Linked DNA regions of Cricetulus griseus. The protein of the gene in region 7 purifies or fractionates together with the protein of the main gene of each other region. This does not show direct contact. Links are inferred from orthologs where the notes say so. Each region holds a gene or a part of one and is shown on either strand. Other genes may lie near its edges. The genes, in order: Rpl14, Gsk3b, Wwp1, Amotl2, Amotl1, Patj and Yap1.

What was found.
Region 1: the proteins of Yap1 (region 7) and Rpl14 purify together in Homo sapiens (affinity purification with mass spectrometry, with the first as the bait; 3 studies listed by BioGRID). This does not show direct contact. The link is inferred for Cricetulus griseus from reciprocal best matches to the Homo sapiens genes YAP1 and RPL14.
Region 2: the proteins of Yap1 (region 7) and Gsk3b purify together in Homo sapiens (affinity purification with western blotting; 3 studies listed by BioGRID and IntAct, with this or other methods). This does not show direct contact. The link is inferred for Cricetulus griseus from reciprocal best matches to the Homo sapiens genes YAP1 and GSK3B.
Region 3: the proteins of Yap1 (region 7) and Wwp1 purify together in Homo sapiens (affinity purification with mass spectrometry; 3 studies listed by BioGRID, with this or other methods). This does not show direct contact. The link is inferred for Cricetulus griseus from reciprocal best matches to the Homo sapiens genes YAP1 and WWP1.
Region 4: the proteins of Yap1 (region 7) and Amotl2 purify together in Homo sapiens (affinity purification with mass spectrometry; 10 studies listed by BioGRID and IntAct, with this or other methods). This does not show direct contact. The link is inferred for Cricetulus griseus from reciprocal best matches to the Homo sapiens genes YAP1 and AMOTL2.
Region 5: the proteins of Yap1 (region 7) and Amotl1 purify together in Homo sapiens (affinity purification with mass spectrometry; 8 studies listed by BioGRID and IntAct, with this or other methods). This does not show direct contact. The link is inferred for Cricetulus griseus from reciprocal best matches to the Homo sapiens genes YAP1 and AMOTL1.
Region 6: the proteins of Yap1 (region 7) and Patj purify together in Homo sapiens (affinity purification with mass spectrometry; 7 studies listed by BioGRID and IntAct, with this or other methods). This does not show direct contact. The link is inferred for Cricetulus griseus from reciprocal best matches to the Homo sapiens genes YAP1 and PATJ.

The regions. Positions count from the first base shown.
Region 1 is NC_048597.1:227,644,496-227,648,793, reverse strand, and holds the start of Rpl14 (60S ribosomal protein L14), read right to left. Parts: upstream 2,801-4,298; 5' UTR 2,666-2,800; coding exon 2,663-2,665; intron 1,961-2,662; coding exon 1,859-1,960; intron 1,359-1,858; coding exon 1,264-1,358; intron 224-1,263; coding exon 124-223; intron 34-123; coding exon 1-33.
Region 2 is NC_048597.1:51,920,621-51,924,120, reverse strand, and holds part of Gsk3b (glycogen synthase kinase-3 beta), read left to right. Parts: intron 1-1,350; coding exon 1,351-1,457; intron 1,458-3,500. UniProt on the Homo sapiens protein: Constitutively active protein kinase that acts as a negative regulator in the hormonal control of glucose homeostasis, Wnt signaling and regulation of transcription factors and microtubules, by phosphorylating and inactivating glycogen synthase (GYS1 or GYS2), EIF2B, CTNNB1/beta-catenin, APC, AXIN1, DPYSL2/CRMP2, JUN, NFATC1/NFATC, MAPT/TAU and MACF1.
Region 3 is NC_048595.1:132,994,643-132,998,724, forward strand, and holds the start of Wwp1 (NEDD4-like E3 ubiquitin-protein ligase WWP1), read right to left. Parts: upstream 2,801-4,082; 5' UTR 2,664-2,800; intron 1-2,663. UniProt on the Homo sapiens protein: E3 ubiquitin-protein ligase which accepts ubiquitin from an E2 ubiquitin-conjugating enzyme in the form of a thioester and then directly transfers the ubiquitin to targeted substrates.
Region 4 is NC_048597.1:210,972,776-210,975,973, forward strand, and holds the end of Amotl2 (angiomotin-like protein 2), read left to right. Parts: intron 1-58; coding exon 59-232; intron 233-933; coding exon 934-992; 3' UTR 993-2,698; downstream 2,699-3,198. UniProt on the Homo sapiens protein: Regulates the translocation of phosphorylated SRC to peripheral cell-matrix adhesion sites. Required for proper architecture of actin filaments.
Region 5 is NC_048597.1:128,045,216-128,048,715, reverse strand, and holds part of Amotl1 (angiomotin-like protein 1), read left to right. Parts: intron 1-2,060; coding exon 2,061-2,336; intron 2,337-3,002; coding exon 3,003-3,109; 3' UTR 3,110-3,500. UniProt on the Homo sapiens protein: Inhibits the Wnt/beta-catenin signaling pathway, probably by recruiting CTNNB1 to recycling endosomes and hence preventing its translocation to the nucleus.
Region 6 is NC_048595.1:51,075,105-51,078,604, reverse strand, and holds part of Patj (inaD-like protein), read left to right. Parts: intron 1-363; exon of another isoform or gene 364-368; intron 369-402; coding exon 403-542; intron 543-2,073; coding exon 2,074-2,269; intron 2,270-3,500.
Region 7 is NC_048597.1:122,312,175-122,315,674, reverse strand, and holds part of Yap1 (transcriptional coactivator YAP1), read left to right. Parts: intron 1-2,369; coding exon 2,370-2,500; intron 2,501-3,500. UniProt on the Homo sapiens protein: Transcriptional regulator with dual roles as a coactivator and corepressor. Critical downstream regulatory target in the Hippo signaling pathway, crucial for organ size control and tumor suppression by restricting proliferation and promoting apoptosis.

The DNA.
Region 1 (4,298 bases), about 110 Mb from region 7:
TTTGAAACGATCAAAATCTGTCATCTTGGCTTTCTGTTAAAAGAAAACAAAATGATCTCTCCTGTTGTTTGTCAGCACACACCCCCTCCCCACCCTCCAGAGCTCAAGGCTTCACGCCATTACCCTTTCTCGGGCATCAATCTTCTTGGCCCATCTTGTGGCCGACCATTTCGTATTGATATCTGCTTTCTCCCAAGCTTTCCGTACATATTTCTGGCGGGCACTATGTACATGAAGAGCAAGACCGTGGATTAATGAATCAGCTTCAGTTGTCTTCATAAAACATAGGCTAGACAATGCCCCCCCCCAGGGAATTCCAAAGACTGGAAAAATCACCTGTCTGAACACACATACTACTTACATAGTGCATGTGCATAAAACCATGTCCTTTTGTAATTAATAAAAGCCACTCCTTACACCAGTGTATACTTTGTTCATTAACTTGGCCAAGTTTCTTACCCACCCAAAACTTCCTTACTGCTTGCTATGAACCCTCAATACTCACCTGTAATCACTCCGTAACTACTGCCACCCCTGAACCACACTGTCTCTCAAAACATGCTGGCTGCCTCAGCACACCCAACATTGCTGACTTGACAACCACACTGCAAGGCAGGGCAGGCGTTCTAATTTGCATTTGTTCTGTGGCTTTACTTCCATAAGCTGGAAACAGGCTTTTTTATGTTGAATACTTTGTAACCACAACCATAGTCGCTTTAAAGGAAGGCATGGTAACTCCTTAAAACACACTAACTCCATCACCAAGGTAGGCCAAGACAAGAAGGAACCTATCTCAACACCAAAAGCACACAACTTAGAAACAAACCACCACAGGCCATCCTGGCCACTGCTCCATGGTGCTTGCCAACACAATGAAGCCACAAGCACAATTCTGCTCTAGCAACAACGGTAGCAACGCACCAAAGCCACTCTGGGAACGAGCCGAGTTTCTCATTGAAAACAAAACAGAGGAGCTAGGGGGTGGTGGTCGTGCCTTTTAGTTCCAGCACTCAGGAGTCAGAGGCCAGCCAGGTCTACAAAGCTATACAGAGAAACCCTGTCTCGAAAAAACAGTGGTAAGGGAAAGAGACCAAATATGGACAACTTTCATGACGGTAAAATGACTGGGCGACCCTAACTAATTAAGGTCCGTTTGCTGACATTCTGGGTTGGCTCTGAACCCTCTGTATTGGCAGAATATTCTAAAGGGGAAAAGCAGACAGTGGCACCAAATTGGAAGGCAGCTAACAGGGAGTGAGTTACCTGTGTGGGAACTTGAGGATGAAGTCAGTAAGCTGCATGCACTTAAAAGGCATGGCCTGTCTCCTCACCCGAGTGCAAGGTCCATCGACTAAAGCCTAGAATACAAAAACGGGGATCTCAGATGGGAACCTGGTCAAGATGCCCGAAAACAATAAAATCTCTTGACCTTTCCAAGACTGGGTATCCATGACTATTCAAATAAAGCCAACAGCGTCCTGTGAGCTCCATGGCCCAAGTCGGGGGCAAACTCCTAGTTCTCCTACCTCCTCGTCCCAGAGAGCTGATGACAGGCGTCACCACACCCAACTTCAGGGTCTTGAGCAAAATCTACCTCCAGCTGCTCTGAATTCCTTTTATCGTTACCTTTTTTGAACTCCCCTGCATTTTTGACCCCAACTGAAACATCTGCCTAGTGTACTTCCTGAGGGAATCTATGAAGAGCGAACTCTCCTCTGCACTTCAGACTCCGTGTCTAGCGTTCCCTCCAAGGGAAAGCTGTAACCTACAGAACCCCACCCGAGGGCCATCTACGGTGTCGTCAAAACTCACAGCCACGTTAAATGAGAGGCTGTGGGCCGCTTCCTCTTATACGTACTCTGTTCTGATCGATTACATCTACAATCGCGACCAGCTTGCCAGCATGAGGCCCAAAGGAGACGTAGGCCACCCGGCCAACCTCCACGAAGCGCCTGAACACCTGAAACAGATAAGGAAACGGGGGTTGGTCTTTTCTTTTTTTTTTTTTCCTTGATTTTCCGAGACAGGGTTTCTCTGTGGTTTAGGAGGCTGTCCTGGAACTCGCTCTGTAGACCGGGCTAGCCTCGAACTCACAGAGATCCGCCTGCCTCTGCCTCCGAGTGCTGGGATTAAAGGTGTGCGCCACCACTGCCCGACTTCAGGGGGTTGGCTTTAACTGTTCCAAGTCCGCTGCTTACCGGCTGTAACACAAGGGCTCAGAGCCGCTCACGGGCCGGATGTGCCGTTGGAAACCGGCGCTCTGCTTGGCTTAAAATGTCCCGCGGCCGCTGTCCCGGGGTGGCCGGGTCCCGGGGTTTGCTCTTACCCATCCTCCAAACCCTCCCGATCGGCTCGGACCCCCTCCCGGCGTAGGAAAGGACGACTGGAGGGGCCCGCGAGCTCGCCCACCCGCCTGCTCGCCAGCAGCAGCGCCGCCACCGCGCTCCCCGCCAGTGCGCACGCGTGGCCCAGGCTCGCCCGGCCGGGCCTCCACGCAACCGGGAGCCGCGCTCCCCCGGGGCTGGATTTTCCACGCTCCGCCGCCTGCCCCCGCGCGGCCCGGGTCGCGCAGAGTCACCCCACGCCGGGGCTGGCCCGCCCGGGGCGGAGGGCGAGCGCCCCGACCGCCGCGCTCTCGGAGCCCTGGGCAAGACACACTCACCATGTCGGCGGCGCTCAGCGAGAAGGAAGAAGGCCCGCCCGGCCGTGCGCATGTGCCGGCGGAAGCTCCGCCCCGACGTCCAGCGTGCCCGCCGATTGGTCGAACGCGGCCGTGCGTGCGTTGGCGCGTGCTCGGTGGCTGAAGTCATGGCGGCGGGGCCTCCTCCGGGCGGCGTCTTCTCGGACACGTGCTGGAAGAAGTTGGCGTCCTCGTTTCTCCGCTGCTGTTGCTGGGGTTTGGGTAGCGACAAGGTGTTCGTCCAAGCCCGGCCTCCCGGACGCTGGCACGACCGGACGGGGACGGGAAACCCGAGTCCCCTGCCAGCCGGGAACACGCAGCGAGACCCCGTTCCCCGGTCTTAGCACGTCACGCTTCCCCCACAGATCCTGGGCTGGATCGTTTGGGAAGAAATCTCCCATTCTTTCATGCATCCATTCTTTCATGCATTCGTTCATGCTCGTGTGCGGGCCTGTGTGCAGTGGCCGCGTCGGTCCTTCCTCATTCTTTTGTTGTTTTGGTTAGGATTTCTTGTTTTTGAAACAGGGTCTCTCTATGTAACCCTGGCTGTCCTAGAACTAGGTAGACCAGGCTGGCCTCCTCCCAAGTGCTGGGATTAAAGGCGTGGCCCACCATGCCCAACCCTTTTTATTTTCTGCCAGCACAAGACTGGGCACTATGGAGACCCAGAAGCAAGAGAATGGATAACTTTTGGTGGCTTGCAACAACAAAGTCTCTGAGACTTTGGAATAGTTTGGGTGAAATTCACACAACCCTGAGTGTAGTAAACAGATACAAAAAAAAGTATATATATATATATATATATATATATATATATTGTATTTTTTTATTTTACATAAAATTCACAACCAGCAAACCCCTTAATGTCAGAGAAGTATAGATTGTAGCTCTGAGAGGTGTCTCAGTGGATAAAGCACTTAGCGACGGGTCAGAAGTTCAACTCTCTTAACACCCACATGAATGTACAATGGGTGTAGTGGCCTGCCTTGCAATCCCAGCCCTCAGGAGTCTGAGGCAGTCGGGTCCCAGGGGCTCACTGAACAAAGAACCTGGCCTACTTTGGTGACCTCCAGGTCCCACAGTAGACCTTGTCTCAAAAACAAAGTTGGAAAGCAATGACGATGCCTGAAGTTAGCTACTGGCTTTACAGCGGTGCAGGCACAGCTGAACGTGCGGGTGCACACGTGGGAACAGGCAAAGCAAAACAACAAAAACTAGAACCCATCTTCCTTTTCCTTGGCGCACACCACAGTTGCTGGAGGGGCAGCAAGCTTTCTGAGTTCTGGTCATGCTGTCCCTTCATCCCGCCAGTATGATACAAGAGTGTTTACTTTTTGCAGACAAAGATCTCCCTGTCGCAGCTGTGCCCTTTTTTCCCCTAAGTGTGTATTAACTTAAAAAAAAATTAAAGACAAAGAAAACCCCTTTTTCTTGATGAGAGTTCCCTGGCTCTAACATAACCAGAGAATTGAACCCAGGTCAGGGAGGGAGGACTGAGATGGTTTAACATCCAGTGGTCTAGTGAGTACACTTTGGGGAAGTCCTCTGGTTTACAGGACTTTGCCATGACGATGCAGCCAGATTATGTCACCAGCTGCCATCCGGCAGTGTTGTCTTT
Region 2 (3,500 bases), about 70 Mb from region 7:
GCTGTTTGTTTGTTTGTCTGGGAGCTGAACTTTAAATGTCACATCCTAGGCAGCTGCTTTATCAAGGAGCTATATCCCAAGCCCCCAAAATGCACTTCTGAAGATAGAAAAGTCCATTATTAGTTATACTGAAAGCTAAGTGTCTTGATTTTCTGATAGCCTGAAAATATTATGGTTGTTTAATAACCATTAATGTGGGCCCTAGAAGGTTAAATTGTGAAACTGCTAATGAAGGGAAAACAAGTTAAGTTTAGCATCATCATTGACTAAAAGTAAATTGAGGGGAAGGAAGCCTAGACTTTAAGGTTGAAAGGTCATTTTCCCCTGGCTGTGTCTTTGCCTTCCTGTGCCCTTCCTTACCTCAGATGTTTTCTGTTGTGATTTTGTTGCCTGTATTTATCTCCTGTGTCTGTGACGCTGCTGTCAGTGCATCTCCCAGTGTGGCTTGCTGATTTGAAATGAGTTATCTGAGAGACATTTGAGAGATGCTAACTGTAATTCACTTTAATGTTTTAAGTGTATATACTGTAAAATACTTCAGGAGCAAAGCTGCAATAATATGTAAACAGCATAGCAGGGATGGAATGGATAGGTTCTGAGTCACTTTCCCCCTCAAGTTGAATGCCTTTTTGCAGTTTGTTTAGAAACAGGTGGTTAGATAGCAAACTGACTAAAATATCAAATCATGCATAGGTTGGTTGTGTAAGCCTTGAGCTGGCCATCCTGAGTCAGAAGTCAAATATAAAACAGTCGGCAGTTATTACCCTTTTTAAAAAAGTGTGTTGGTGAGGAGTATTGATATATTCATTTATTCTGATCCACTGTCATTCTTTTGCTGGGGAAGGCTCCTTTTAAATTTCTTGCCCCTTATCTTTATATATTTAATTATTTACTATTTTTTGGGACAGGGTCTTCCTGTGTAGCCCTGGCTGACCTTATAAGTCTCACTGCAAACTGGGTTGGCCTCCATCTCACAGAGACTCAACTATCTCTGTCTCCTGAGGGTTGGGATTAAAGGTGTTGCATCGCCATGCCTTGCAACCATTTTTACATTTCAGAAGTAGAATTTAGGAAACATGGAACCAGAAGAAACTGAACATGTGTATCCTTTTGAACTTTTAATCTCTTTGTTCCTTAGGTAACACTTGACAAATGCTTACTTTAAAAATCACTGTTTCTTATATCAATTTGATGAAATTGTGTATTTCTTTCATTGAAAACAGTTGCAAGTGTGTTGCATTATTGCAGTCTTGTGAGGTTGAGACAAATATGGTGTGTGAATATGAGTATTTGTTTCTTTAAGGTATGGATTTAAAGATTGCTTTTTTTTATTTTTATTTTTTTCATTAGTGCAAAGCAGCTGGTCCGAGGAGAACCCAATGTTTCCTATATCTGTTCTCGGTACTATAGGGCACCAGAGTTGATCTTTGGAGCCACTGATTATACCTCTAGCATAGGTAAGTACTGACTCTGAATACAGTTTATAACTGTTAATTGCACCCTGATTCTTACAGTTTCTCTGACATGAAAAGGGCATGGCTGCAATATATTTTTGCAGAAATGTATACAACTAAATTTTTTTAACCTTTTAGAATTTTATGTATATCTTTCCATTATGCTTTTTTAGCATTAGAATTTTAAAAGTATTTGCATTATAGTTAGCTAATGTATTTGTTTGATCTTAAAGTTTGAAGTAAAGTGTAAATACTGTAACTCTTCAGGTAAGTGTTTTAAAAATATTAATGAGGCAGGGATCAATGACAGGAAGAAATATGCTATATGCAGCTTGCATGTAGCCGTCAGAGGACAATTTTTGGGGTCTGTTCCCTCCTTTTACCCTTATATAGGTTCTCTGGATCAAACTCAGGTCATCAGGCTTGCACTGCAAGAATTTTTATCTACTGAGCTATCTGTGGGTCCTGTATTAGTTTTCTAGTTCTCCTGAAATATTTACTTCTGAGCCTGATACCTAGTTAGAATATTGGTTAATTAATAATGTTACTTTTAAAATGTTAATACTGTAATTGATAGGGCAATAATATTTTTGAATTCCTACCATAATACATCACTTTAGGTTAACTTAATTCATTAGTTGTTCAGCTAAACTTGCTGGTTTAAAAATTTCAGTGGAGGGAGATGTCTAATGATAGAAGGATTCAAGACAGTTGAAATCCTCATTGCCTTTGTGTTGTTCTAGTACAGTTGCTGTGTCAGCACAAAGACCATGACTCGCTGAATCTGAATGGCAAGACAAAACCAGCATTGATAGGCTAGATGAAAAAGGACAAAATTATTTTATTTCATACATTAATTGTGTGAGGGTGGGGAGCTGAGGCTGACATCAGGTGTCCTCTATCTGAGCTGTGAAATGAAGATCATTTCTAATTCTGCCTGCTTTTCATGGTTGCTGGAGGAGTAAAATAAAATGTTAATGAGCCAGTATAAGAATGGAAGGTAACAGACTTTCTTAGTATATTTATTAGCTCAGTGGTCCCCAAGAGCAAATTTTAACTCTTTGTCCTTGGGAATGTTATCGGATATCTAATGATTAGTGTCTTAGTCAAATGTTTGATATTGGTTATCTATGCTCTCTCTCTCTCTCTCTCTCTCTCTCTCTGTGTGTGTGTGTGTGTGTGCGTGCGTGCGTGCGTGCGTGCGTGCGTGCGTATGTATGTATGTATGTATGTATGTATAAGATACTGGACTGAATTATACTAGGCTCACCTAAAATAGTTACAACCAAATTCCTGACACATTATAGAATGTTTGTGTGAGCCAGGGCTTTTGGGACCCTAACAAACATGGATTTGATCCATTTTCAGATCTAAGATTCTTGCTTCTTAAATTTTTAAAAATTTATGTGTATAAGTGTTTTGCCTGCATGTATACCACATATATAAACACATATGCCTGCATTTATGTATGCATACCACTTGAATACTCAGTGCCTGTGGAGGTCAAAAGAGGATGTTGAATCTCTGAGAACTGGAGTTATGGATGGCTGTGAGCCATCATGTGGATGTTGGGAATCTAACTAGGTTCTCTGCAAGAGTAGCAAGTGCTCTTAATGGATGAGCCATCTCTCCAGCCCTGACTAGGTTCTCTGCAAGAGTAGCAAGTGCTCTTAATGGATGAGCCATCTCTCCAGCCCTGACCTTGCTTCCTAAGGCTGTGTAAGATTGATACAGTCCCGCACACAGGAAGAGGTGGACAGATCTCTTGTGAATTCTAACCAACCTAGGGCTACATAATGAGTCTGTCTGTCTCTCTCTCTCTTTCTCTGCAATTCTTTCCCCCACACACACATACACAAAATAGATTTGTAAAAGGTGAATACTTATAAAAATACTTATTTGTTAAAAAATAAAAAGGGTTCAAACATATGAATAGATTTTTTTTTAATTAACATTACTTGGAATGAAACCATCACTGATTCTGACTAAATTATTGCCATATTTGGATATAACCAATACTATGTAATCAAAATAAAATACAAATTT
Region 3 (4,082 bases), on a different chromosome or scaffold from region 7:
TTTAGTTTCAAATAGGATTATTAATCCCCAAAGGAGTCTGAACCTTATGCACCAGTACTAAGGATAACACATCTGTGCTACCACTTATCTCTCTAAAGACCTGAATCAGAACCTTCATTTTAACTGTCTTAAAAAGTTACTTTAGCTGAGCGTATTGGTGCACACCTTTAATGCCAGCACTCAGGAAGCAGAGGCAGGCAGATCTCTGTGAGTTCAGTGACAGCCTTGTCTACAGGAGTGAGTTCCAGGACAGCCAGAGCTACATAGCAAAACTCTGCCTTTTGTGTAGGGAAGAAGATGCTGTGCTTTTGTCACTGTGTAGGTATGAAGATTGGAGAACAACTTTTGGGAGTAGATTGCCTTACTATTACCCAAATTAGGTCATCAGGCTTGACAGAAAGTCCTTTACCCACTGAGTCATGTTGCCAATTATTTAACTGTCTTCATTCACCTGATCACCAAATTCTATCCTCCTTTCTCTGTCCTTTCCATGTGTTCAGACCCTTGCTACCCATGACGATGGAAATCTTGAGGTTTATGAATCTTCAGGTTCTTCCTCCCTCAATTCATACTACACAATTAATTCTTCTAAAGAAGGTTTAAATTGTTTCACTCCCCACCCCAAAATCATGTGGACTCCTGACTGCCTACTAACCTAGTCATTAGTCTGACATTAACCATACTCTTAAGTTCAAAGTGGTGGCACACCCCTTTCCAGGGCTCTGAAAGCAGAGGGAGTTGGATCTCTATGAGTTCAAGACCAACCTGGTCTACACAGCAAGCAAGTTCCAGGCCAGTCATGGCTACATAGCAAAGCCTTGTCAAAAAACAAACAAACAAAGAAACAACTAGAGAAAACAAAAAATAAGTTTTGTTACTGGTCTAGGTTTTTTATTTCAAGCTTTCTTACCCTATATCCTAAGTAAAGATCATTTAGGTTTCATCCAAATCCTCTTAGATCCTTCTTGAATTACCGTTCCCTGTTTATGAAAAATCAAGTCACCCTTCAACCCAGCAACTTCAAAACGAGAAGCCCCTAACTCATTTCTGAACTTGAATTGAGAGAATGTTTATATTTATGAAACACACACAGACACACACAGACAGACAGACAGATAGACACACACACACACATACAAACACACACACACACACACACACACACACACACACACACACACAAAAGTATTCTGGGCATGGGGGCATAGGCCTGTGAGCTCAGGTCTGAGGCAGAAAGATGGCAAGTTCAAGGCCAAATCCGGCTACATAATGAGATCCTGCCATTTCACACATACATAAAAGGAGCATTTGTGTGTAAATATAACATGCATACCTTCCTTCCCTAGGCTGTAAAGACAGAAGCTGCTAATCATTACATCCATATATACCCCAAAATAACCTCACACTGTCACACAGTTAATGCTTAATAACTGTGCAAGGATGTAAAAGAAATTTCAGGCAACTGAGGAGATTACATCTCTTTGAAGGCAAGAGACCTGACCAGCCATATCCTGGGTTTCAAAAGCACAGTGTCTTAAAAGCAGCTTTATATGTTATGTGAAGAACTATTTGAAAATGTTAATAATCTATGTCTCAAAGAACTAAGCCACATTCTTTACACATCTCAATTTCAACAGCTCCCAACACCTGGCACTATACTTTGAATTTTAAATGTTAACTAGTTATTAAAAAGTGGTAATTTTCAGTCAAAGTATATTGCTTCATGGCTAAAGCAAGCCAGATAAATCAAAGAATGTCTTTTTTAAAAAGGTGAGTGTTACTAACAGTTACAAACACTTGACATGGTGAGACATGTCAAGTGGATTTGTACACAAGCATAAACGTACAGAATCCTACAGACAACTGTGAAAGGGGTATTTCATGAGAAAACAGAAACAAAAACAACAACAAAAAAAACACCATATTTTTTGCAGCATTTTAAGAATAGAAATTCAATCTTACTACACACAAAAAGATAAAAATCTAATAGAAAAAAACCCGGACAGCTATGAATTATTTCATTGTGGAAGAGTAAAATATTTCAAAACTGTAATAGATACACCTTCCTTTTGGTAATAAAGGTTTCTTATGACCGCTTAAAGCAGAGGAACTTCAACTCCAAACCGATGAGTAAAGGGAAGGGACACACAGTCTTTAAGCACACAAAACTGATCATTTAAAGACTGAAAGGGCGATGGGCAAAGTACCAATCCTAACAAACACTTCAATTTTAAAAGAAGATTTAAAGAAAAGGGCCGAAATCACAAGATGAGGATTAGAAAAATTTTGCAAGGTCACTTGAACCTACCAGGTCACCAAAGGTAGCAACTGGGGGTGCTGGTGGGACGAGATGCGGAGTCAGAGAGAAAGCCTGAATGCTAAAAACATGTCAGAATAGGATGTTCTGAGGCTGGCGTCCCGGCTCGCGCCGGTGGGATCCGGGTGAAAGTCAGGGCAGCAGTTCTGAGGCAGGGAAGCAGGAACGCCAGCGAGCCGCCGGCTAGGCGGCTGAGCACTGCAGTCACCGAGACACTTCGCCTGGCTCCGGTGTCACCCGCACAGGCCGGTGCCAGGGCCAGCCCGGGGCAAGCCCGGCGACCCCACCCCAGCGAACTCCGGCCCGGCCGCCCTCCAGGCTCCCTCCTGCGTCCCACCGTGCTTACCCGCGCGAAGCTGTGGCTCCCGGGGCCCGCGGCCACCGCGGCGGCGCCTCCTCAGCCCTCCGCGCCCAAGATCGCCATCTCGCAGCAGGCGTCGGCCGGGCAGCCCAGGCCGCCCGCAGCCACCCGGATCCCGCACGCCAAGCGCGCCGACACCCGGCCCTCCCCCCACCCCACCCCGGCCCACACCTCCCTTTCTCGGGAACGCGCAGCGTAGTCGCGACGCCGGTGCCGCGCACAGGCGCGCCTCCCCGCCGGGGCCGCTCCGAGCCTCTAGTCCAGACTCGGAATCCAGCTGCCCTCGGGCATGCGCAGCGAGCGCCCGCCGAGCCCTCCTGAGGACTAGTCCGCTCCTCCGGGTCTTCGCGACGGTCGAGCGGAGACTCAAGCCAACCAATAAGAGGGAAGGGGCGGGTCCCGAGCCGGAAAGGGGGCGGGGCGGCCCCCCGGGAAGCCGGTGGTGGCTTTGGAAGCTGGAAGCTTACAGCTTACCTGGCCTGTTCAGTCAGCTGCAGAGCCTCGTGCACAACCTCAGGGAAGATCCTGCGGTCACTCATGTGCTTACTCCGGCACTTCACAGCTAAAGTAGGATGTGAGTGAACACTCCTTGACCTCGCTTAACATTTGATTTAGGGTCCATTAGCAAATGGTTGAAAAGACTTGCATTTGTGCTGGAAATCAAATTGTTCCCTTCCCCCTTGGCAGCATGCTGGCCCAGTAACAAAGCTGCTGATGATTGAGCCAAGTCAAGTATCCGTGTCCCTGTAGCTAATCCGCACAGCAATCCTGAAAGGTAGCTTCTCTTGACTCCATTACACAATGAGTCAACTGGTTAGAAAAAGCTCTGTTGGTAATTTACGTTGCTCTTGCGAGAAAGGTCACACTGCAGATGCAAGTCAGTGCTGACTACTTACCATATGGCCTACTAGTCTACTTCAGAAAGAGATCAGAGTTCTTCAGCATTGTACAGTTAGCCAAACAACTCACCTAGGCCCTACAAATTACTTACACCCACCCCGAGCTTACTAATTCACTTGTTTTAAAGATTCAGAAATCCTGGCTTCGCCTCAAAGACCTCTCCACTGTTGTCTGTGATACTTTAGAATACCTTCAAATGCCCCAGAGGTAACAACTTCTCAACATAATCACCTTTTAAGACTTCTGCCCCAAATTTTTTGTGGACCTTAAACCACCTTTCTGATTCACTCTTGGTTGTCGTTGTACTTGTACGTTTTGAGAGAACAGAATATCAAGAACACTAAGAATTCATGAGTATTTGTAGGACTCAGTGAATACCTTTTGAATGAACAAATGTACATTGGCTTCTACTCCGGTACATTAGTTACTGCCCCCAACCTCACATAGAAGTTCAGTGCATCTGCACATGATGCACAAAAATTACTCAAAAATGTACATGGCAAT
Region 4 (3,198 bases), about 89 Mb from region 7:
TCGGGGACATTGTCTTCTATATCCTGTTGTATCCATCACCCTCCTTTCTTTCCTACAGACCGTGTACCGGCAGAGGAGCCCCCGGCCACAGCTCCTCTCCCTACCCACACCAAGCACGGGAGCAGAGATGGAAGCACTCAGACTGATGGCCCTGCAGACAGCACCTCTGCCTGCTTAGCCTCAGAACCCGAGAGCCTCCTGGGGTGTAGCAGCCAAAGGACAGCCTCTCTGGGTAAGCACCCTGCCCCCACTTCCCCTGACCCGTATATTAGATGGGGGCTGAACTGGAACACGTGTTTTCTCCAAACTCATCCTCCATGGGAAGCCCCATGGTATGAACCAAGGGTTGTTGGAGGCATGAAACCCTCAATGGGAGGCAGACCTATAGTTGAGAAAGAAAGCGCCTCATCAGAAGGCACTGTGCCTCCTCCAGAGTTTTCCTCACATATCCTGCTGGTCCAGATTTCTAAGATCATGGAGCTTGACAAGTGACCCTGATGGTGATCTTGAGTTGGGAAGCTATTGGAAGAGCCCAGAAAAGAGGAACTTGAGAAGAAGCCTTTTTTCCTTCTAGTCTGATCTCACATTTACCCTTGCATAGCTGCCTGTGTGCGCCTCATGATCTCAGAAAACCACAGGCATGACAAGAATGCTACAGCCTGCTTCTAACCCTGGGGGCACCCCTCCACTGATCACTCTAGCCAGTTCAGAGTCTAAACACAGGCATACTTCCTGAGCCATCTAGGCCCCAGCCGACGGGAGGGAGCAGAGCATTGGGCTTAGTTGACCAAGTTAAGAGGAATCTGAGGACTGGGACAGATTAGGGGAGGGAATCTGATGAAGAAAGATCCTTTCTTACTTAAAATGTGTTGAGCTGAATAGAACAAGTGGATAACACTCACAGCATAGACCTGTTGTCTTGTCTTTCTCCAGACTCTGTGGCTACTACCAGAGTCCAGGACCTGTCAGACATGGTGGAAATACTGATCTGAAGGAAAGAGGTGGTGCCTTGGGGACCCTGACGCCTGGCTTCCCCCTGGCATTCCAGCGGTCGTCAAATGCTGCGCCTCACTTTCTCCAACCATTGATAGTGTGGTGCATGAAGCTCAGAGAGGAACCCTAGAGGGGACCTAGAAAAGTCTGCAGCCCCAGAAGACTGCTTCTTGGCCCATATTCCTCCCATGCTCATGAGGAGGGAAGAGCCAGATTTCCCCTGCTGCCCAAGGTCTGTTGCTGGAGGAGAAAGGAGCTGAGCCCCCTCTGTCCTGCCCATTTGTATTCAGGCATGAAGGGAAAGGGAAGTGGATTCTGATTCCCAAGGATGGCTGAGCACCGATCTGGTGGTCTGCTGGAATAACCAGGCCAGCCATGGTGTTCTGTGGTTAATCGAGGCCCCAGCCAATCCCATCTGCTCTTCACTTCCTCACTGCCTTCTTCAGATCACTAAGACTGGGACTATTGGGAGTGTGAGTCTTTTGGGAACCACCAGCATGCCTCTCACTTGGAGAAGGTTAGAGGCCATTTGAGAGGCCTGCGGAACAGTGTGTTTTGTATATAATTCTCCTTCCTTGGGAACAGAAGACTAAGCATGCTGGTTCAGAGTCTCCTTCCAGGGCTGTGCTGCCTGCCCCCGCTGCCACGGTTCTTGAAACATCTGATGGGTCCACCAGATGTTCTTCCGCCTCCAGTACTTGGCTATGGAATTTGATACTGGTTGCCCTTTCTCCATTTTAAACCCCTGTGTTCAGTGCCCATGGGACTCTTGTCACCAGCCTTTCTGAATGGCTCCACAGCTCCTGTCCCTGGGACATCCTGTCCGTTTGGTTATAAACTGAGCCAGATGCAATGAGCCGCCACATGTGGACATCTTTCATGCCCAGCACCAGGTTCTCTTTGAAGAAACTGGAGAGGTTGTTCTCATAAGTGTGTTAGTTCCCACCGGCAGGGACTGGGAGAGGAAGCTATGCTGTTGAAAAATGGATCAGTGAGCTTAAAAAGACAAAAGTCCTCACTGTGGTGCCCCGTCACAAAAACGGCACCCACGAGGCTGGCTCCTCAATTTCTGGTGCCCCAGCCCTGAAGCAGGGCCAACTACTTGGAATTGGGTGAAGTATCCCCAACTGGCAGCCTACCAGCAGCAGTGACTTTGACTTTGGTCTTAAAGTAACCCCCATTCAGCTCAAAAAGCGATTGGTGGGTTTCAGAGCTTTTGTGTTTTCTCCTTGAATCTTTGGTTGTTTTGTTTGTTTTTCTTTCACTGTTTTCAAGTTCTGTTTGTTGTTTTATTCCCATGGTTCTCTGAGTTTCCTTTTTAAACATTTGCATTTGCTGGGCAATTGCATATTTTTTTAATTCCCCTACCCCTGTGTAAAGCTAAAAAAATACATCTGGTTCATGTGCATTGTTTACAAAGATAAAAGTAAAAAAAAAAAAAGGAGGGAAAAAAGGCAAAAAAAAATTGTGAAAGAAAAAAAAAACAACTTAATATATTTTGGATTAATATTTGGTATTTCTTTAAAGTATTTTTTGTTGCTGTGAACATTTTCTGCCAAAGACCATGACGTGTGTCTGTGTGTTTAAGTTATCATGAATATTTAAAGTGTAAACATGGCTGTTTTGTTACGCCACCCTGTACCAGGATTGCTGTTGCATTCCACTGGGTATGACAGTATTTTAATAAAAAAAACTTACAAGGAGAGATGTTTATATATTTATTCATTTGTTTATTGGTTGAGACACTGTATGGATCTGAGTCTAAGTTTGCCTCAAACTAGAAATTCTCCTGCCTTGGCCTCCCTACTGGTGTCTTTACAGGTGTGTGTGACCCACAGCTACAAGACTGGTTATTTGCAAGGATAAGGAAAGGAAAGAAGATGAATGTTTTAAAGGGTCACCCATGTCCACTCTCTTCAAGGATATTTTGTGAAGTGGCCTGAAGGACACTTGAAATGGCATAGCTGTCCCCATTTCCACACATGTGCACTTTCACAGACACCATCTATGAGAAGGGTAGACAGGGTGGGGCAGCTGGCTGCCTTTCCAGGTAACTGTCCTAACCAATTTTGATTTTGGTTGTTGTAGTAGGAGTGTTGAAACATTACCTACTCTGTCCTCTCACTAGCACACAACCTCTTTGCTAAAGGATCCAGGTGCCATGTGAACCCTGTGATTGGACACATGAAGTGTGTATTCCAGAGT
Region 5 (3,500 bases), about 5.7 Mb from region 7:
TATTATTGACAGGAAGAACATGAAATGTCTTAGGAGGACAAACCTAGAGCCCCTCTGTCTTAGTTAGGTTTCTATTGCTGTGAAGAGACAGCATGACTGACCAAGGCAGTTCTTATAAGGGTGGCTCACTTACAGTTTCAGGTTCAGTCCATTATCAGCATGCATGGTGGCATGCAGGCAGATGGGCTGGACCTGAGAGGGCTACATCTTGCAGGCAATAGGAAGTTGACTGAGGCACTGAGCAGATTCCTGAGTATAAGAAATCTCAAAGCCCACCCCACAGGGACACACTTCCTTCAACAAGGCCACACCCATTCCAACAAAGCCACATCTCCTAATAGTGCCATTCCCTGAGATTATGAGGACCAAATACATTCAAACTACCACACCCTCAGAATACCACTCCATTGTGGGCCATGTCTGCAACTGCTCCACAGTGTGTCTACACCTGTGGGACGTTAAAAAGCTCAAGCAAATAATGGGGAAAGTGTGCCCAGAGAATCTCCATCAGGGACAGGAGCCTTCCTGTATTTTATAGGCAGGATGTTGAGAATTATCCAGGAGTGCGTCTTAGCTGAGTGGTACCCTAGGGTAGACAGGCTGGGCCAGTGAGCTTGGAGAGGAAGCTTCCAAGTCTTCTCTCCCTTCCTCTGCTTGCTGTGACTCCAGGAGGCTGGCCTTTCTTTGACATCTGTCTCTGGCTCGGCACATCATTTCTCTGCTCTGCCAAGAGTCAGTTTTCTCATGTGCTGATTTGTCCTGCAGTGTATGAGAGCTTCCATATGAATCCACAGGGCTGGGGCGGCGGGGGGGGGGGGTCAAAGCCTCAAACAGCACGTCTGTTTGAAGTTCCTCTACAGGTGGCCTCTATAACCTCAGCTCATCCTAGAGGATTCATGGGGACAGCAATTATGATAAAGGCCATCCCAGGGACACTTAGCTCCTAACCCAGTAAGAAGTGGGTCTGTCCCCCAGAACATGGATGTCAATAAGGAGGCCTCTGCACTCCAGGGAGCCTCTGGTAGTGGATTAGTATTTTTCCCTGGTGCAAGAAGGGACTTTGAGAGCCCATCCCATATGAAGGGTTACACTCTGGCCCTGGACACATGGGGAAGGGCCCAGGATCAGCATAGGAAGACTTGGTGGACTTTGCTGAGCTCCCGTTGAGGGCCCTACCCTGCCTGGGGAGTAGTGGGTGGATGGGGTTGGGGGGATGGGCTGGGGGTGGGGGAGAAAGTTTGGGGGTGAGGGGAGGGAGAGGGAGAAGGGACTTGAAATAAGCTTGTTCCCTAACTAGAACTAATAAAAAAAAAAAAAAAAAAAAAAAAAGAAGTGGGTCTGTCTCAGGAGTCTGAAATTGTTCAGTTCTTATGGAGACGTCCCTAAGAGAAATCTGTGTGGCATTCACCCAGGTACACATTGTCGGTGCCTGGGCTTATGTCTCAATGTTACCAGGTCAGCATAAGGCCTGAGAGTTGGACACCCTGGCCTAAGGAAGACTGGCCATGTTGTGTGCACCAGTGTACCTCCTTGTCAGTGTAATTAGTGCCCACATGTCAGTCACAGAAACAGGGGTTGGGGGGAAGCTCCGAGGTTTGGGTGGAGTTTAACTTCACAGGCTCCTACACAGGACCTCAGGTTTTTCCATCTTGTGCATGACGGACTTGAAGAGGTGATGGAGATAGCAGTATCCACCTTCCTAATGTTGAGCAGCTCCCAGGAGAGAGATTTATTCATCTCAACTGCAGATCACTGTGTCTGAGTCTGGGCAGTGATGAGATGGCATTCGGGTTGGCAAGGGTCTTTTTACCTTCTGAACTACCCCAACAGTCCAACTGTGGTTTTCAGTTGTTTGAATTTAGAATACAAATACCAAGTCTGTAAAGAATTTAATTGCATGGGACTCAGGACATAATGTAGGACTGTTTCTCACTTCATCAGGCATGCACCCAAGTGCTTATTTAGGGTTTAGTGAATAAATCATCGAATAAATGAAGTCATCTCCAGTCCAGAAAGAAAAAGATAAGTTTCCTTGAAAAGCCACTTCTTTTTCCCTTCAGGGTTCCTGCTGGGGAAGGAGCATCAGGGACAGGCATCTGCCCCTCTGCTGCCAACCACACCTGCCTCTGCACTGTCCCCTCCTGCTTCCACCACGTTGGCCAGCAGCACCCATGCCAAGACAGGCAGCAAGGACAGCAGCACACAGACGGACAAGAGCACTGAGCTCTTCTGGCCCAGCATGGCTTCCCTCTCCAGCAGAGGCAGGCTGAGCACTGCCCCATCCAACAGCCCCATTCTGAAACATCCAGCTGCCAAAGGGACCATGGAGAAACTGGGTATGTGGCCCCTACGTCTACCATGCTTGGAGACCCCATGAGACTGTGTGACTTGAGGCGGGGAATCTAGTGCAGAGCTGTAGAGAGATCAGGAAGCCCAGTCTGTTCCTGTGTTTCAGTAGTGATCATCACAGTTACTTTCAGACTGGGGGTGCTCTTTGTTGCCATGGGACTAAAGTGTGGCCAGATAAGCTTAATTCATTATTGAAGAAGGGGAGCACCCAGCCCGAGTGACTTGGTGACATGTGTGTTCTACCCTTCCCTAGGGGGAGGTAGAACAAACACTTGGTAGAAGTAACTGAGGAGGGATTTACTGTGGGCTCATGGTTTGAGGGGACAGTCCATCATGGTAGATACAGCATGGTAGGACTGTGAAGTGTGAGCCTGCTCATTCACATCTAGGCAGACAGGAGACAGGAATTTGGGTCTTTGTCAGCTTTCTCCTTTTTTAATTTTTACTCAGTCTAGAACCCTAAGACACTGTCTTCTCTGAGAGCCACCCACCAGTCCCTCTACATCTCCCACTGCGATATTCTCAGGCTCCCATGAGCACACCAAGATGCATGAGACTCTTGGGCAGGCCAGGACATTAAAAATGCTTCTATGATAGAGAGTGCATGGAAAACCCAGGCACAAGGTTGCTGATGTTTGCCCTCTGTTTGGCAGAGAACTCTCCTGGTCATGGGAAGTCGGCAGACCACAGAAGCCGCGTGAGCAGCTTGTTGCACAAGCCCGAGTTCCCGGATGGGGAGATGATGGAAGTGCTCATCTAGCCTCGTCCTGTGGATTTTCACACCAACATGCTGACAAGAAAAGGGGTTGGAAGAAGGTCTAGATGGTAGCAACTACAAAGCCAGAGCAGGTGTGGACGCTTCATAATGTTACCAAAACAGCCGGCTCACAGGACTGCAGAGGGAGGGAGAGAAGATGTATACAGACTTGGAAGCAGAGTTGAGAATAGGAGGGATTGTCCATTGTAGAGAAATAGTATGTCTGGGGAGGCCCCATACTTCCCCTATTCTTGGTTTATAAACAGATGAAGAAGAGCTGGGCCTTCCTTGGAATCACCCCATTCCCTTTGCCTCTTAGCAGGTTTGGTTTAAGAAGAATCTGCTAGAAATCCTCAAAACCTATCTTGGCATAATATAGTATTTCTGTGCCATC
Region 6 (3,500 bases), on a different chromosome or scaffold from region 7:
AAAACTAATATAAATGCTGCTGGTTGAACTGGGCTGAACATAAGCATGCTTCTGGCATAACTGATTTACTTTCCCTTTTAAAAAGTGTTTTGCATCAAGAGAATTTAAAGAAATTTATGTACAAAGTAATTGAGAGTTTACTGTAGGGAAGGGTGTTTGTTTTCAGCTTTTGTCCAGCCCAGAATCTGTCTCGTAAATGTGGATGAGTTGTAAAATGCTTCTCAATGCTGTTTCTGTAAAAGGTTTCTAGAACCAGCATATTACCAGAACACTGAGCATGCTTAGACTGACAGCGATAACCTCGGAGAGGTTGCTGTGTGCTGAGCAGGTTTGGTTCTGTGGAAAGGTGATATTTAAATGTACACCATGTTTCTTTTTCTTTCTGACTCCCCCCTTCATTAGGGCCGGCATGTTGAATATATAGATATAGAACGTCCTTCTACTGGAGGCCTTGGGTTCAGTGTGGTGGCCCTGAGAAGCCAAAGCCTGGGATTAATTGACATCTTTGTGAAGGAAGTCCATCCAGGGAGTGTAGCAGACAGGTGAGAAAGTTCATTTTGTACTTGGTTCATGTTTTTCTGACAGCTCTGAAAATGTTGTTATAAAGAGAGTAAGAAACTAACAATAACAATAGTAACAATAGGACCTAGTGCTGGTTAGCACTCTAGAGGTTCCTTAACCCCGCCATCTCCACATGTACCTACTGTTATGTTTGGAGAGTTCTGTACAAGGTCTTTGTCTCTGTGATTTCTAGTCTTTGGTTTCAGATGTTCCTGGTAGAAGATAGCAGTAGTGGCAGGGTCTGATTACAAAATTCTGTCAATAAGTTTTTCACATTCATTTTCTCTGATTATAGATGATTATTTCTAGTCTCTTTAACTCAAAGTTTAAAATAATAGATGTACTGAGTTATAGTATGAGTAGTATAAACCTTACCATTTTGAAGTGATGTTTAATATAATACTCAGTGTTTTACGATCATTTCCATATTCTAGAAATAGTAAAAATTCTAGAAATTTCATCAACTAGAAAAGGAGCTCCCACCCTGTTGTATATGTTGTTAGTCACTCCCAACTTCTTCTTTCATCTTCTGGCAACAACTTGCTTTTTTAAAACAGCATCTATCTGTAAAGTTCTGGACATTGTGGGAAGTGCTGGTATAATATATTGGTTATTCTTCCTGACTCTGTATTTGATGGTATGATTCATGATGCTCTTCTCTATGATATGAGAGTGAGTCTTCCTTGCAGCTTGACCTTCTACTGTGTTGTCAGCGAGCCTCTGTCAGTGCACAGATGTGTCCCTAAATTCAGCATTTACTTCTCAGTTCCTTTAAAAGATGATTGTGAGATTCAGTCTAAGTTCATTTTGGTATAACAGAATGCCTGAGGTTTTAGAACTTGTGATGAACAGAGATTTATTGGCTTACTGCTCTGGAACTGAGAATTTCATGTTAGGGTTTTACGACTGGCTTGGGCTTCTTGCTGTTTCATCACGTGGTGGAAGGCAATAGGAAGCAGGGCAATAAGGAACTAAACTTAACTTTTGTGTATACACCAGTCTTGTACATGAGTGGATAGTCCCTGATCATCCCTTAGAAGTCTCATGTCTTGATACTTTACAGTAGAAATTAAAATTTCCACAGGAGTTCAGAGGCATGGACATTGAAACCATAGCAGAAAACTTTCTAAATACCCTGTTGACATCTTGTCATCTAAAATGTTTCCTCATGTGAAACCGAAATTGAATACATGTAACAAAAGTCATATCAGCCCCTCTGAGACATGTTACCTGGGGCAGAGTCTATTTTTACAGGTTCATTAGTTAAGGAAGTATTGTAGTTTGAGGCTGGATGTTGCTCTTTCTCTCCACCTGTGCAGTCTTGCTCAAGTGATTTAATTTTTCAAGTTTCAGTGTTGTGTAAAACAACAGTATTAACATGAGATAAGATGGTGTAAGAAGCATATGGTACTAATGGAGTTCCTGATTCGTAGAACAATGCCAGAGCCAGCTCTGTGTGCATGTTCAGGTTGTCAGTACCTAAAATACAGTCTGCTTTTCTTGTATGACCAGGGATCAAAGATTGAAGGAAAATGACCAGATTTTGGCCATTAATGACACCCCATTGGATCAGAATATTTCCCATCAGCAGGCGATTGCATTACTACAACAAGCCACTGGGTCTCTTCGTCTGGTTGTGGCCAGGGAAGTGGGCCACACACAGGGCCGTACTTCTACCAGCTCAGCTGATACCTCTTTGCTTGAAACGGTAGGTTATAAACTTGGGAACATATTCATTCTAAATTATGTTATTCACTATAAGAATAGTTGGGCCGGGTGATGGTGGCACACACCTTTAATCTCAGTACTGGGAGGAAGAGACAGATGAATGTCTGTGAGTTCAAGGCCAGCCTAGTCTACAGATTGAGTTCTAGGACAGCCAGGGCTGTTATACAGAGAAATCCTGTCTCAAACAAACAAACAAACAAACAATCAAACACCAAAAAAGATTAGTTGGTAGTCTTTGGAAGTCCTTTCCATTATTCTAGGTCAAGAAAGGTGATCATATCTCTTTATGGCAACATTATGAGATGTTTACTGGATAGTTTTTCTTTTCTTTTTGTTTTGTTTTGTTTTTTGTTTTTTGTTTTTTTGAGACAGGGTTTCTCTGTAGCTCTGGAGGCTGTCCTGGAACTAGCTCTTGTAGATCAGGCTGGTCTCGAACTCACAGAGATCTGCCTGCCTCTGCCTCCCAAGTGCTGGTATTAAGGGCATGTGCCACCACCACCCGGCAGAGGAATTTGATTTATTTTTGTCTTTTTAATATCTGGTTGGTTACTTTATTAAGATTATTATTTAATATAAAGACCAAATTAAATATTATTTTTAACTTATTTGGTGATAAGATGTCTTGTGATCTTTGATGTCATAGTGAATTAATGTGTGTGTAGGGGGAGAGGGAAACCTGCTATGTAGCCCAGGATGGCTTTGAATTTACAATTCCCTTGGTTCAGCCTTCAGCCTCCTGAGTGCTAGAATTATGGCTGTGTGCCACTGTATCTATGAGACTCAGGTTTTTATTAGAAGCTTACTTTTGACTGTCTTAAGGAAGATGTGAATATTTATTTTAAGTATCTCATATTTGTGAATTATAGTGGAAGTTTATTACTAGATTATTGATTTTATAAAGTCATTGTAGACACTTTTTCAAAAAAGTTTAAAAAGAAAAACAGATGTCAATTAAAAATGCATGATTCTTCATTGGTATTTACTTTCTATGAGCCTTCCCTTGCCCCAGCTCCCTGAAATCTTTGTAACATTGTGCTAGTCTTTCAGCAAATGTATATTCATTGGCTCCCTGTGCACCCTGTGCTAGGTTGTGGGCACAGATTGGGAAACGTTTCTTGTCCTTTTTGAGTTAGTGTGGTATGATCTGTGTATTTTGGTTATTTATGCTTATGTTTTCTATTAAATTATAATACCCTTATGAGTGGGGCTCT
Region 7 (3,500 bases):
CTGCGTAAGAAAGACAGACACAAACACACACACAGGTACAGGGCCCAGACACAACTGAAGACCTTTCGCTTGTAACGATTCCAATATGGACACTTGTGTGTCCCCCCCTTCCCTGCCCCTGCCACCTTGCAGCAATTTCAGCTTAAAAGATGGGATCATTTGAGCTCCAGACACCCAGCTCCAAGTTGAAATTTGCTGGGTGGAAAAACTGTATGTCAGAACCTGAAAGGTCCTTGTGTATATTTCATTAACTAGTCATGGATTCCAGCTTATAAGAAGGACAGAAGAAGCCAGGCGACCAGAGTAGGAAGAGTCTGGAGTATGAAGTGTAGTGGGAGAAGAGGTCATCCAAGAGTGGGGGGGCACCCATCATTACAGTCACTTCCCACCAAATGGCTAGCATATCAAACAGCGGGCTTCATTATGACTTTCATATGTGTATGTTATGTGCTTTCCTCATATTTCACAACGGGAGAAACCATATGATACCTGGTTTGTGGGTTTCTTTTGTTTTGTTTTTGTTTTTTTCAGTTCTTTTTTTGCTTGTTTCACTATATTGACCTCCATTTTCATGTGTTTCCTTCGTGGCTGAATAAAAGCCATTGTGCGTATATATCACGTTTTCTTTATCTACCTACACATCTGGCTTACTGGGTCTCCACTTCTGCCTCTGCTGTTGTGAATAACCCAGCATAAACATAGATGTGCAAGTGTCTCTAGGAATTCAATCCCTCTGTTTCCCCAGGGTGATGCAGCTGGTCTGATGGTCCTTCTGTTTTTAATGTCTATGTTGTGCTGATTTCCATTGTGGCTGTACTAATTTACATACCCTCCAGCATCATGTAAGGTTTCCTTTCTTCCCTACCTCAGCATGTTTGTTTTCTTGATAGTCATTTGAACGAGTTGTGGGTTGTTTTGTTTTCCCTTTTAGTTTTTCAAGACAGGGTTTCTCTGTGTAACAGCCCTGGCTGTCCTGGAACTAGCTCTGTAGACCAGGGTAGTCTTGAACTCACTGAGATCTGCCTGCCTCTGCCTCCCAAGTGCTGGGATTAAAAGCCTATGCTACCCAGCTTTGAACTAGTTTTGATCTGCATTTCCTTGGTGGCTAAGGAATGGAGGTTTTATTAATAATGCTTATCAATAGTAAAGGAGAATTTATTGCATAGCTTGTCATAATATATAAAGGATCTGTAATAATGAATATAAATAGTACTTATGAAGTAATAATATATTATGGAAATGTCTGAGTTATGGAAATACTGATGAAAAATCAGACCCACAATGAATACTGTTATTGTCCATTCATAATTAAAGAAAATGTAAAATTTGCATTCATATTTGCCAAAAATTTAAGGTAATCTTTCCCTTCCACGTTGTCACACAAGTTCAAAAACCTGAATCTTCAGGCACCTCTAGTTATGGAGCTCCAGTTTAAACAAGGAAATGAACAGAGGGTATAAATAAGCCTGGATTAAAAAAAAAAAAAAAAAAGTGGGTTTACAGAGAGGAGAAATCGTGGAAGTGGCTGTGGAGAGAACGGTTTTTCTGGCCCTGGACACTGCAGGGATGACGTGGGTGGGAGGAGCTGGAGGAAGGGTGTGCCTTAAAGGCAATTGCAGAGGGGCCTGGCAGTGTCCTTTGTGATGCCCAGAGAAGGCCATATTGCAAGTCAGCTAACAAGTAGGCAGAGGGAGCCTGTGCTCAAGCAAGGGTGGTGGTTGCACAGGAGACATAGGGGCAGAGTAGTGACGGCGTCAGTGAGAGACCCTGGCCGAAAACTCTGAAACATCTCCTGGCCAGATGCCCAGGTGGGATTCTCCTGAGTACTGTTGGAGCCCTGTAAACATGTCTCCCCAGAGGAGAGGACACGGCTCTGTCCAGCTTGGGGGAGGGGGTCCCTGAAGTCAAGGAGGCTTGATGGCAGGGTATAAACACTGCTGGGGCTGAGGGGAGGGTTGTGTCTGGCAACAAGTCATCAAATGTTCTTTCTGTTCTGTTTTTACTGCTGGCCCAAACCATTGAGAGCTGGTAAGTAATGACAAAATCTAAGAAGAATTGTCTAAAGCCAGGAAGGGTTTGGGGGTCTTTTCCAATAAAGAGAAATGAAATGTTAATGTTAATTATGCATGTTTGGGGATTAGTACAAGTAGGCAAACTGACATGTCTGCAGCTTAGTTTCTTTCTAGTCATTTGAAGTATATAGAAGAATTTGGTTATTCTGATTAAGAAACATGTTAGCTTTAAGGAAAACATTAATATTGTAATACACTACACCCCCCTTTTCATTGTGACACTTTATCTCTTTTAATCTAACAATAAATTTGTTAATCAGCAGACTGATCCTCTCTACATTTGTTTATTTGTTTAAGGAATTAGCTCTCCGAAGCCAGTTGCCCACACTGGAGCAGGACGGAGGAACTCAGAATGCTGTGTCTTCCCCCGGGATGTCTCAGGAATTGAGGACAATGACAACCAATAGTTCAGATCCCTTTCTTAACAGGTTAGTAAGAATGCTGGCCAGGACCTGGAGGATTGTCGCTGGCGTCATTGCTCTGTTTTGTGCTTGTCTGGCTGTTTTGAACGTCTATGTGAGCCATAACCCATAGCTGTCAGCCATCTCCACAAATGCCAAGTGCAGTCAGAGCTGAGGGTTGAAGGGGCCGAATCCTGGACAAGAAGACGAACTGTTCAGGCTTGTGGAAGGGATGTGGGTCAAAGCCCCAACATGCTTGCATCTGCCTACACTCTATGCTAACATTGCTTAAAATGGCAGTCTTCAAGAAACACGTGAGTGCCTTCCCCATGAAAGGCATGGACAGCATCTTATCCCCTGAGCTGGAACTTTCCACATGGCTAGCTATTCATGTAAAGCCTCATCTCATACTCTTTAAGGCTCTCATGTAAGGAGGTAAAATATACAAGGCTGTGTCCCACCCAAAACCATAAACTTTGGTGGCATTATTTTAAGCAATACAGCTTACAGGCACCTCGTAATAAGTGAGTTCACAGTCCTTGGGGTCTGGACTTCAAGTGGATGATACACAAATCACTGTGTTGAGAACTGTTTTTTATTTGCAAACCATTTTAATTAATATTTAAAACCTACCCTGCTGTTTTAATTTTGCTTTTTAAGAGAAATTAGAATACTCTCTGGGCTAGACTCCCTCCTCCCATAATGCTTTTAAGCAACAAATTTTTCCTTCCTCCTCCCCTTTTTTTTCCTCTTCTGTTTTGAGTCAGGATCTCTTTGTAGCCCACATCAGTGATCCTCCTACCTCAGCCTTCAAAGTGGTAAGATTTACAAGATGGAGCCATCATGCCAGCTTGCAACACACTTGTAAAATTGGTTTAGGGAGCCTGGCAATGGTGGTGCATGCTTTTAATCCCAACAGAGACAGAAGGATCTCTGAGTTTGAGGTCAGCCTGATCTACAGAGCTAGTTCCAGGACAGCCAGGGTTGTAACACCCAGAAATCCTATCTCAAAGAAACAAATACAAAA